3 linked regions of the Arabidopsis thaliana genome follow. The protein of the gene in region 2 interacts with the protein of the main gene of each other region in a pairwise test. Each region holds a gene or a part of one and is shown on either strand. Other genes may lie near its edges. The genes, in order: IBH1, NAP1;1 and MYB72.

Region 1 (3,718 bases), on a different chromosome or scaffold from region 2:
ACGAATGCACGAATCAGATATTTGATGTGAAATATGTGGAATTGACCAATTTGTCTGTTTACGTACACGTGTATAATAATTGACAAATTAAAGTAGGACACTCGTATGAAATATAAGTATGACCAACTGCATAAATAAGACGTGTAGATAATCCTTCCAACGGAAAATGTGATTATAAAGAAAACAAGTAATCAGAGTCTTGTAATTTTTGTTAATAATGTTGTTGTGAGCGACCATTTGAATTCAATCCGACATAAATCATGAAATGTTAGAGTTATACAAAAAAAAAAATCTCTCTTACCTGAAAAAAGAGTTATACAAAACAAAAAAGGAGTTAAATTATATATATTCTACAAAATTCTTTAACCTATATAATGTCAAGTATTTTTAAGACTTATTCAAGTAACTCCGTGTTAAACAAAAAAAAATCATTTAATTAAATGATTCATAATTCTATAAATATATATTTTTAAAATTATTAGATTTATCATATATTTTCTCAAAAACATAAACAGTCGTATATGTATAGGAGATATATAAATACAGAATGTATATTTTATGATAGTTATAATTCCGCTATAATTTTCTTATAACTAATATGTTATAACTTTATATATATAATCCATCCATAGAAACATCATTGACGAATAACACAATCAAGAGGAACCAAGTAAATTGCATAGCTTAAAAGAAAAGAAGAAAGAAAATTCTCTTAGCATATGATAAGTAATAAATCCCCTTTTATCATATGACAAGGGCAAGTTACCAAGCCCTAATGTTTAAACCGGCCATAGCATATGATAAATAATAAATCCCCTTTTATCAAAATTCAAGAAAAGAAAAAGAAAAAAATCTTTCGTTACTTCGAGACTAATACATATCCACACATTTCATATATGTATCCTATCTTACACGTATGTATATATATAAGAATATATATATATATATATATATATATATACACATATATATTCGTTATGATTACCCCAATCCAATAGACTATGTATGTGTCGTATCTCTATATACATCGATCATTGATGATGATGTTGATGATTAATTGATGATCATTTGGGAGATAAGCCATCAACGAGACACTGCATGACCTTGACCTGCATACTAAGGCACTTGATGTAATGAGCCGTCTCTTCCATCAGCTTTGACGTCTCCATTCCTCCGCCTCCCGGAACAAGATTCCTCAGCCTCTCCGCCGCCTCCTCCACCACCGGAGCTCTCTGGTTACTCCTCCTCCGTTTTGATGATATCTTCCACTTCCTCCTTGAAAATCTTACGATCTTGTTGTCATCTTTGTCTGCTCTACGCAAGAGGGCTCTGCTCCATAGCCGGCTACTCCCTCCGGCTGCTCTGGCCATGGAAACGTACGCAGCCTTCTTGATCTTCCTCACGCGGTAGTTTTTTTGGTCCGGAGTATCAAAAGGGTTTTGTTTTCTGAGATTTGAGAGGGATTGGAGGAAGTGGAAGGCAAAAACGTCCTTTTCAGGGACATCTGTGTTTATGAGTTTGTCTGCAGAGGCCATTGTTTGGGTTTTTTAGAGAAGAGAACTTGAGTTGAGAACCTTTATAAAACTTTTTTTTTTTTGAGAATGACACAATATTAGGGTTAATATAAATGGAAAGGTGGAGAGAGAGAGAGAGATAGAGAGGAATAAATAATGTTTATTTTTCCTTGTACTTAACTTTTCTTTATGTTTTTTTATGTCACAAGACACACAACTATTCAAATTCTCTATAAAGTTTAAATTTAAACTATAGGTTCAACTATTTATAACTCATGTTCTAAAAAAAAAAAGATGTGTTAATAGCTTTGAAATATTGAATTTTGGAGCTTAATTGGTCCGTCAAAGTTACGTTGCGTAAAAATATGAGAATATGAAGTTATAAGTGGCAGTTTTCTTCAATGGTGAACAGCAAATAAATACAGTTCTATGTTTAACTTTGGGGGTTTACTAATATTAGTTCAAATTTTTTGTAGATTCGTCTGTTATGGTTTAGTGGTTTGACATCGATTGCTTACTGGTGGCTACTTAGATGTGTAAATATATCATTATGTGTTAGAATTTTAAAATGAAATGTGAATTGTATAACCCATGTATTTCGGAAAAGTATAATTTACACCTAGTGTTATAAAGTCTTGAATAAATAAATGGGCAATTAGTGGAAAACGATGTTTTGGAGCTTGAAGAAAAAAGTTGATGCCAATAGATTAACAGAACTTGGCTATTTTGGGTATATATATTTGACTATTTTGAAATTTGAAATATTAATGTATACTACACCCAAATACAATATATATAGCATTAATGCTCGTATACATCTTAGCTAAAACAAAATAATAATTCGGATGATGTTTAAGTACTAGACGCAAATTAATCAAGCTCGTTTGGTTCATAGCTTGGTATTAACGGAAAAAAGAGCAATTTAGAGCAGACATCAGATTATGGAATTAGATTCCAACCACACTATTATGTTTATTTGTTTGTTTTTATAAAAGGTTAATTTAGTGACGAATGCGTATGAATTCATTAACGTGAACAGCTAATAGAGACTATTATGATAAAATTAGGTAAGCTATATACATATATGTATGTATTTATGTTAACATTAGTTGACAACTAATGACGATTAAGATGGAATATGATCGATTGTGGAAAACATATAAGCTCATTTTCAAGGCAAAAGAAATAACAAAACCCAAAATATCAATTTAATTGATTCATTACTTGCTCGATATTTACTTCCACAAACAAAATTCAGCCAAAATCCAACTCTCGTGAAACGACTGATTGAGGATGTTTATTCGAAACTGAGTTTGAACTATACGTTAGTTTAGAAAGTAACACCATTGAACCTGAGAATAACTATGATTATTTCGACGATATAAAGTGTTAATAAACTTAATCAATTAGCCACTCGCATCATCAAGATAAAACGTGTTTAAAATTGATCAGATATATAACAAAGTATTCACCATGCAAGAGAGCAACAACAAAATATGAGATTATTCAATTGGCTTGACCAATAGATGACGTTACAATTTATATACACCAAATATTACTAACCAATTTAGAAAAGACAACACATGAAAATATAAAAGAAGAGAAGAGAGACTTGAGGAATACGATAAGTGTTTGGTTAAGGCTATAATTTAGCATTAGTCCCATCTCTTTTGTGTTAATCACTCTCTCCCCTACCGCTTTGCCGCCGGACGTATTTTTCACGCCATTTAATTCTTTTGTATAACATCATCATGATCATATTTATCTTTTTTCAAGATTCAGCTCCAAAATCCCTTAAATCTCACTGTTTTCTCTAAGGTTTCAAATTTCACATCTATCATAAAAATACGTTTAAAGATTAACAATTTCGGGTCAATAACAATTTACAAAATTGTTGATATTAGGAGTGAAACCAAATGAATAAGAAGGTGTTAATCATATAATAAGAACTAAAAAAGAGTTGAAGAAGTGGTAGAGTAGGTCCACTAATGGGCCAACCACCACATGAAGGCACATGGCTATGGCCTTTACCCACCTCCACTTTCCTTTCTCTCTTATCTTTATCTTTAATTTTTTTTTGTTCTAATTATTCAATTAATATTAACTACACCATTCGTTTTCTTTGATTCTCTTCTTAATTTAATAATAAGTCGTTGGGGGCGAATAAACTTTATCATACTAGTTGATTAAAATATCCCAACTAA
Region 2 (3,760 bases):
TGGTGAAAGAATAAGAATCCATTTGCAATATAAGCGAAGAAAAAAAATAAGCAGCTCAATGCAATCAGCTAATAAGCAGAATATACTTAAAAGTATACAACAATTGCAAGAGAGTATAAGTAGTTACCCCATAGCCTTCTCAAGCAGTGGCTCATCTTCATCAATCATATGATAAGACTTTGTCAAGACAGTGTTCTTAAAATACGGATTCGTGTCAAAGAAAAACTCAAGTTTGAATCCTTTAGGCTCTTCAATCTTGCACCACTTAATATCTTTAAGATATTTGAGAGCCCCTTCATCACGCTCTGTGACCTGACATAAATGACAATAAGTTATGCTCATATTCCATGGTTATGATTGGAGTGTTTATAAAACGAACACCAAAACTGCATATAGGCTACCTCCTCGGAAATAACATCGTTATTTTTCAGAGCTGTCAGCCAGAAACTTGGAACTCCTTTCTCTGCAATGAAAAACAGAGAAAAATGTTAAATTGTTTTTGTCTTTCCAAAAAGATTAACAACAAACAAAGAAGACATAGTGCTCATGAAGTTACCTTCTGCAGTTTTCTCCTCTCCTTGGTCCACCTTGGTATCATCCTCTGGAGCCAGTTCAACTTCAGTAGTGCCATTCACAATCTCATAACGCTGTGCCATTACAAGATACCAAGTAGAATTCATTAAGATGCACATAGAAAACTAACACTGCTGCAGATAAGTAAACATAAGCAAAAAGAGTATACACAGATCTACATTGAGTTTAGTAAAATGGTTTGTAAAACTTTCTCATTAACAATTACCTTGACATACAAAGGCTGATACAGCGTTTGATACTTGGCTTCAAGAATAGCTCTCTCCTCACGGAATTTTGCCTCTAGTTCATCATGTTGGCTCTGCGTGGAAAGAAGTCATCAGTAATCAAAACGCAACACCTTACTTTTGAAACTTTAAATTCAGATAAGCAGGGAGAAAACTCACACAAAACAAAACAAACCCCATTAAACGATATATAGCACACATAGTTTGGTAAAATGTGAAAGAAATTTCGCTAACCTGTATATCCCTCAAGGCATCAACGCGCTTTCTCACATTGGGAGTCAGATTCTCGAGCACATCAGAACGCTGACCAGCCAGATTCTGCAGCTTGTTCTGTGAATTAATAACAATGTATTAACAACTCATAAACTATCATTGTACTAGAAGAATGACATTGAAACCAAAACACTAAACACCAAGACACGGCTTATAGTATCTAAACAATCAGAGGAAAGTAACTCAACATCCTCCATATCTTTCAATAGCAAATGCTCACGGGACAGTTTACAGAAGGGGAAAAAAACTCACCTTTAGAGCATTGACAAGGCCAGCTCGATCCTCGTCCTTAAGAGCTGCAAAAAAACAGTAAACAAAAGGAACACCAGTCAGATAACAGAGGAAATTAGGGTTAAAGCAGCTCTGGCTTAAGAGGCGGAGAAAGAGATAAGAGTAATCGTGAGTAGGAGTATTTTACCAGCAGTAAGATCGGAGACGTTGAAGCTATCCTTGTCGTTGCTCATCTTCTGAGGATTTGGTGAAGAGAGAGATTTTGAAGAAGAAGAAGCAGAAGAGACTAGGGACAAGGGTTTTGGGGAGGCGACTCGTAACCCTTAAATCCTCTTTGTTTTTTTGTTTTTTTCTCTCCCTCCTTTTCACACCAAAATTATAACAAATGCCATTTTAGTTTTTTCTCTTTTTATATATACTTTTCTTTCTCTAAAAATTGATGTTTAATGTTTTAAAAAGCAAAATTAAGTTTATTGAATTAAATAACATGCAAAACTTTACATACATATATATATGGATAATGAGAACTGACTTATATATAGATAATTAAAGTTTATTTATGAATTCAATCAATTATAAATATATATAACTAATATATAAACTTTAATTATCTATATAATTAAAATTTTGCATGTAATTATATTAATTATCTATATACTTATATATATATATATACACTTATATATATTTGATTCTTCACCAAATACAGTACAGGTTAGTGAACTTTAATGGGATCAAATAGAAGATTTCTGAATCTGTTAGTACTAAGGCCCATCCCAAGAATGAGCCTTCCAAGCCCAATACACTGATTACTTCTTTTGTTCACATACACTGTACATACTAATTAAAAACAAAAAACAGTCCACAACAAAAACAAAAAAACAGTCCACAACAAAAAGTCATATCCCAAAAGGCACAAAGATCTTTAGTTTGGTTTAAGCTCATCCCGAGTTCAAACGAATTAAACGTACTCTAATCTAGATTAGCTCATCACGACATTTTCAATTTGAAGTTTCAACCTTTTATACGTCTGACCAGAAACACAATAAAGAAGCCTCACGCGTAGCATTTTTTTTTAACCAGAAAACCATGAGACAAATTCAACCTAATCAGATAACTGTAAATCATTTCATTCATCCTATTAAAAGCAAAGGTGAAAAGCTTTTTGTACCTCCACGACTCCCACTTAAGAGAAACATTTTGTAGAGCTTTCAAGTCACGCGTAGCAAACACACCTGGTAAGTGGTCAATCTTTTTATATCATATAGCCATCATAAGAGTATCATTAATAGTAGTTTCTTAGCATAATCTTAATAGTTCTTATGAATATTTTTATAATTGATTTTGAAAATTTTGAAGTTAAGAATTTAGTTAAGAGATTGAAATTTTGGCAATATGCAATGGTGGACTCTTAACTTGAGTTCTTAAAAAAAAAATTGGAAAAAAAGTAGAAACATTATAATTTTAAAAAACTTAATAATTATTACAACTCAAAAAATTTGAAACATACATAACATAAAATTTTAAACAAATATGACAAACAATTAGATTTAATACTTAATTTATCTAAGAATTAAGATTAATTGAATTAAAACATTATATTTAATACCTAATTTATCTAAGAATTAACCTAAGAAACATTAGATTTGGCTCTTATATAAGAGTCATTTTTAACAATTAATTGAATTATAACATTAAATTTAAGACCTACTTTATCTAAGAACTAACCTTATAAACTATGAATAATGATGGTCTAAGCGCGCTTGTTGTTGAAACTCTCAAATAAACCGGATAATTTTAAAACCAGGTTTAGTTTAGTTGGTAGATTCGGCTCAAATAGTAGTATTTTTGTGGATTTAAAGATGCTCAGCATGTATATACATATGTGTTCTATAGATGTTTTACACATTTTTTCTATTTTACTATTCTGCTTGCCATAATCATTAGATTGTTTGGTTGAACCGAAGCATAGAAACCAAACCGAACATAGCACACAGCAACAAAACCGGAATCATTCAGAGGTAAATAATTTTTTTACATTACCCGCAACTGCAAGGAAAGAGGAAAAAAAAAAAGACGCAAACTTTGAGAAAGACATCCTCATCGTTTTCTGTCCATCGAAGCTCTTTTTTTTTTTTTTTTTTTTTATCTTCGTATTCAATTCTTGAGAGGAGAGAGAGAGAGAGAAGCATCCCAGAAAACGACATTCTGTTCATATGGAGTTTTTTCACCAGATCGAGAGCACGAAGAAGATGATTACTGGGTTTTGATTTAGTCGGCGAAAAATCCGTAATCTCATTGTTCGTGATCTCTGGGTTGTTTTTCTGGATTGCTGGTGCGGCTGATTCTAGTCAGGATTGTTTTTGGGGTCCCTTTCGCTCTATTTGAATCTGCGTCTGGGTTGTTAAGATTGTACAAGGGGTTTCGTGGTTATTTAT
Region 3 (3,760 bases), on a different chromosome or scaffold from region 2:
TTGGAGCAAGAATCAAAAGTTTGTGTATTCTTTGTAGTATTTGTTCTGTTTTTTTCTTTTCTTTTCTTCTTCTGTTTGGTCTCACTGAGACCGTCTCAGTCTCTCAAATATGTATGGACTTAGGATAATTCAGAAGCTTTTGACATTGAAGCCCTTACAGGAAGCAAATATCAAGTGATTGAAATGATGAGTACAGTTGGAGTCATATTTCTTGTTGTTTGTATCTAGGCTAAGAAACTTACACACACCTAATTCGATTTCAGGACTTGATGCTTGGTGTGGCGCCTGATCTCGACACACCGGAAGCAGTCGATGCTGCCATTGCCAGCCATCAACCTGCGACCTGTTTTGGCCTCTGAAAACGGAGACTCTGAGAGCAGCCATAAGAGTGATCGAGAAGGAAAAGAGAAGAGTTGTTTGTGTGAATCTAGCCGAAAAACGAACCAATATCATAGAGCTCTCATAAAACATAGCATCTTCTCAATGCATGGGCAATCCATGTAAAATAGTAATTTACTCAACATTCAAAAGTGGATACAACACTGGTCATGCATATATTATTGACATTCATAGACATACTTCTCCGACGAAATTAAAATCATCAAAGTAAGTTTGGTTGTCAATGAAGTTGAACCACTCGTCGTACTCATTGTTAGGTGTGGTTGATTCAACCAGCTGTCTCCTCAAGTCGGATTCTTCGTTTGTGTCTTCAAATCCGCATGGGATATCCGGTTGAGGATGATCAAATGATTGCGATTTGGTTACCTCTCGAGTCATTTCTTGGGTTGAAATGTGAGTTTGGTGGTTATGAAGAAGAGAGTCTAGCGGAAATAAGATATCGTTATCCTGAAGAAACTCAGAGGTTATATCATCAAAGTCATCATGGTCGAGCAGGAACTGGATCTCGTTGAGTCCATTAACCTCATGAAGCTCTGGTTTTGTGTGCATACACTCGCCTTGGTGATGTGACGAAGTAGCTGAGTTTTGGCTCTCATTTAACCCTGAATGTATTTCTTCTTGAGCCCCGTCACAGTTCTTGTCATGATCTGCTTTTGTGCTTTGGTCATGAGTGCTAGAGAGGGATGAAGAAGAAGAAGATGGAGTGAGTCGTTTCTTGAGATGCGTGTTCCACACGTTTTTGATCTCGTTGTCAGTTCTTCCCGGCAAGAAGGACGCGATCTTTGACCACCTGATGATCACATATATCAATTAGTCTCTACATACTATATATTGTCTTATTATAAAGAAATTAGATGAATAGGTAGAGTACAAACTTGTTTCCAAGGGTTTGATGGTAGTGAATGATAGCATCTTCCTCCTTTTTGCTAAAGTTGCCTCGCTTCACGTCCGGTCTCAGATAGTTTATCCATCTTAGTCGGCAACTTTTCCCACATCTCAACAATCCTATGTATATATATCAATCATTATTTCTCTTAGTTATTTAAAACTTTATAGTATTACCGAAACATGCATGTGAATAAATACTAACCAGCAAGCTTGGGAAGAGATCTCCAGTTTTGATGGCCATGTTTTTGAATAAAAGTGATGAGAGTGAGATCTTCTTGAGGGCTCCATGGCCCTCTCTTCACTTTGTTCTTGTCGCAGCATGGTGCTCTTCCTTTCCCCATTCTTATTACACTACTTTCTTCTCTATAGCTACCTTCACTATATCTTTCTCTATATATGCAATGTTATGTTTTTGATTATTATCAGGAGCTCCTATATATATATCATTGATATAACCCGGCTCTTTACGTCAGAAGATGTTTTATAATTATTAGTTAGAGATTAGATTTTCCACTCCATTCAATAAAACTCTTATTTATTTGAGGCACTTCACTCGTAGAGAGAGACCCAAAAGCATGGAACGTACGGAAGTTAACGGCAGATTTTAACTAGTAATCTCTTAAATTTCTTTTGTTACTCATATGCCCGTGTACAGATCATAGTGTCCATTAAGTATAATTGTGTAAACAAGTTATGCATGATTCATTGACGAGTTACGAAAAATATGTATATTAATTTGAGCATCACGGAAATATTTAAATAGTTTGATACATTTCTTGATTATTCAGTTTTAAATATTTTATACAAAAAGATTTTCGACTTTAGATTTTGATATGAGCGAGTAGAAATCTAGTATATTGTAAACTTTAGAGCGGTTGTTTGTGTGCGTGTGTGTTAAAGACCACAAGGGCCATGCCACAAACAAAAGTAACACCAATTGGAGAAATAAATAGAATAAATCTGTAGACTGTAATCCTAATTAATTCAGATCAGTTTATTTTTTATTAATCCTGACACTTATTATTTGACATTTAGTTCAGAAGGAGAATTCAATAATCCTTTTCTTTAGCCTATTAACTTATTTACTCGTCTTCGTATTTCTTATAAAACTCAACCCACATCATCATCATCATCATCTAAGTTTACTCTTATTTACTCCTTTTATTTACTTCTTAATCACTTTGTATCTAATGTTTAAGGTTTTTACGCATAAATTAAGAAAACACAAGACATTCATTTAATTTATCTCTTTTACATAAAAACATCATTAAGTTCAGTTTTCAGACAATAACAAAAACATGATGTAAAACATAATTAGCCAAAAAAATTAAGATATTAACAAATTGAAAACATCACTTATAATGAATCAAGAACAAAATACCCTTAAAACATCACTTAAATTGATGTGGAGGGAATATTATTTACTTTTTTTTGCTATGAAGTTTTAATACAAAGAATAATGAAAGTTCACATTTCTATTAGTAATTAGAGAATACTGGTATATATAGACATTGCGTTTTAAACTGAACATAAATGACTTATCTTTAAAACACCACTTCATAAAATTTCAAAATATTTATATCTAACGTATAAATGACTTCATAAATGACTTATCTTTAAAACACCACTTCAGAACGCAAAGTTCCTTATTTGAAAGAGAAAAATAAAATAAAAGTTTAAACACGAAGTTGTACATCCAAATCATGATGTATGATGATTAATTTTGTAGTTGTTTAGACTATAAGTTGTGATGATTAAATTATATATTGGTGTTTTCCATAAATTAAAATATGGCATGGCATGGTTAGACTTCAAATCCACGCCACAAGGCTCTGATGTAAGATTGCGCAAAAAAACTAATGATCATTCCATCCGTATAATACATATGCTATCTACTTTATATAAATACGTAAGTATGCAATTTTATATAGGTTTAATGCATGATGTACAAAAACATGAATACATAATACATGAATACCTTTTAGCATACGTTAGGCAAGCAAGAGTCTCGTAACTCTTACCTTTTAGTGAGGTTAAATGTAATATGAGGTAATCTAAAGTGCTAATAAAATGTGTGGAAGTACGAATAATATCCATGCTTCCATTCCCAACTTCCAATCAAAATCAGCATACGTACTTCTTTTGTACGTACGTATACGGATATATATTATAAACACATTAGGGTCCTATATATATATATATAATATCTTATACATACATATGAAATAAATATCGATAAAAGAGATTGGACATAAGGTAAAGTTTTAAAACGTGACGTAGCATGTGTGGGTCTAAGTAAAAACTTGTAATGATTGGCAATCACATTATATATGTATCACATACGTCTAGATATATACAATAGAAATAGTTTGTTTATTTGAAGTGGTCAACTTGTATGACTTAATTCACATTAAAAAGTAAACAAAACAAAAAGGAAATTAAGAGCTTGTGAGTCACTGTATGTTTAGCACTT

Evidence for each region.
Region 1: the proteins of NAP1;1 (region 2) and IBH1 interact in binary tests that used the Arabidopsis thaliana proteins (3 or more experiments, as listed by UniProt).
Region 3: the proteins of NAP1;1 (region 2) and MYB72 interact in binary tests that used the Arabidopsis thaliana proteins (3 or more experiments, as listed by UniProt).

The regions. Positions count from the first base shown.
Region 1 is NC_003071.7:17,907,064-17,910,781, reverse strand, and holds IBH1 (ILI1 binding bHLH 1), read right to left. Parts: upstream 1,776-3,718; 5' UTR 1,536-1,775; coding exon 1,065-1,535; 3' UTR 572-1,064; downstream 1-571.
Region 2 is NC_003075.7:13,230,507-13,234,266, reverse strand, and holds the start of NAP1;1 (nucleosome assembly protein1;1), read right to left. Parts: upstream 1,700-3,760; 5' UTR 1,556-1,699; coding exon 1,510-1,555; intron 1,388-1,509; coding exon 1,344-1,387; intron 1,149-1,343; coding exon 1,053-1,148; intron 893-1,052; coding exon 800-892; intron 648-799; coding exon 557-647; intron 464-556; coding exon 402-463; intron 313-401; coding exon 128-312; intron 1-127. Other genes in the region: CK1 (casein kinase 1), read left to right, coding at 3,759-3,760. UniProt on the Arabidopsis thaliana protein: May modulate chromatin structure by regulation of nucleosome assembly/disassembly. Contributes to the regulation of cell proliferation and cell expansion. May function in nucleotide excision repair (NER). Involved in somatic homologous recombination.
Region 3 is NC_003070.9:21,020,252-21,024,011, reverse strand, and holds MYB72 (myb domain protein 72), read right to left. Parts: upstream 1,629-3,760; coding exon 1,490-1,628; intron 1,405-1,489; coding exon 1,275-1,404; intron 1,254-1,274; exon of another isoform or gene 1,190-1,253; coding exon 568-1,189; 3' UTR 425-567; downstream 1-424. UniProt on the Arabidopsis thaliana protein: Involved in metal ions homeostasis, including iron ions (Fe) acquisition, via the regulation of NAS4 and NAS2 genes expression. Necessary for plant survival in alkaline soil where iron availability is greatly restricted.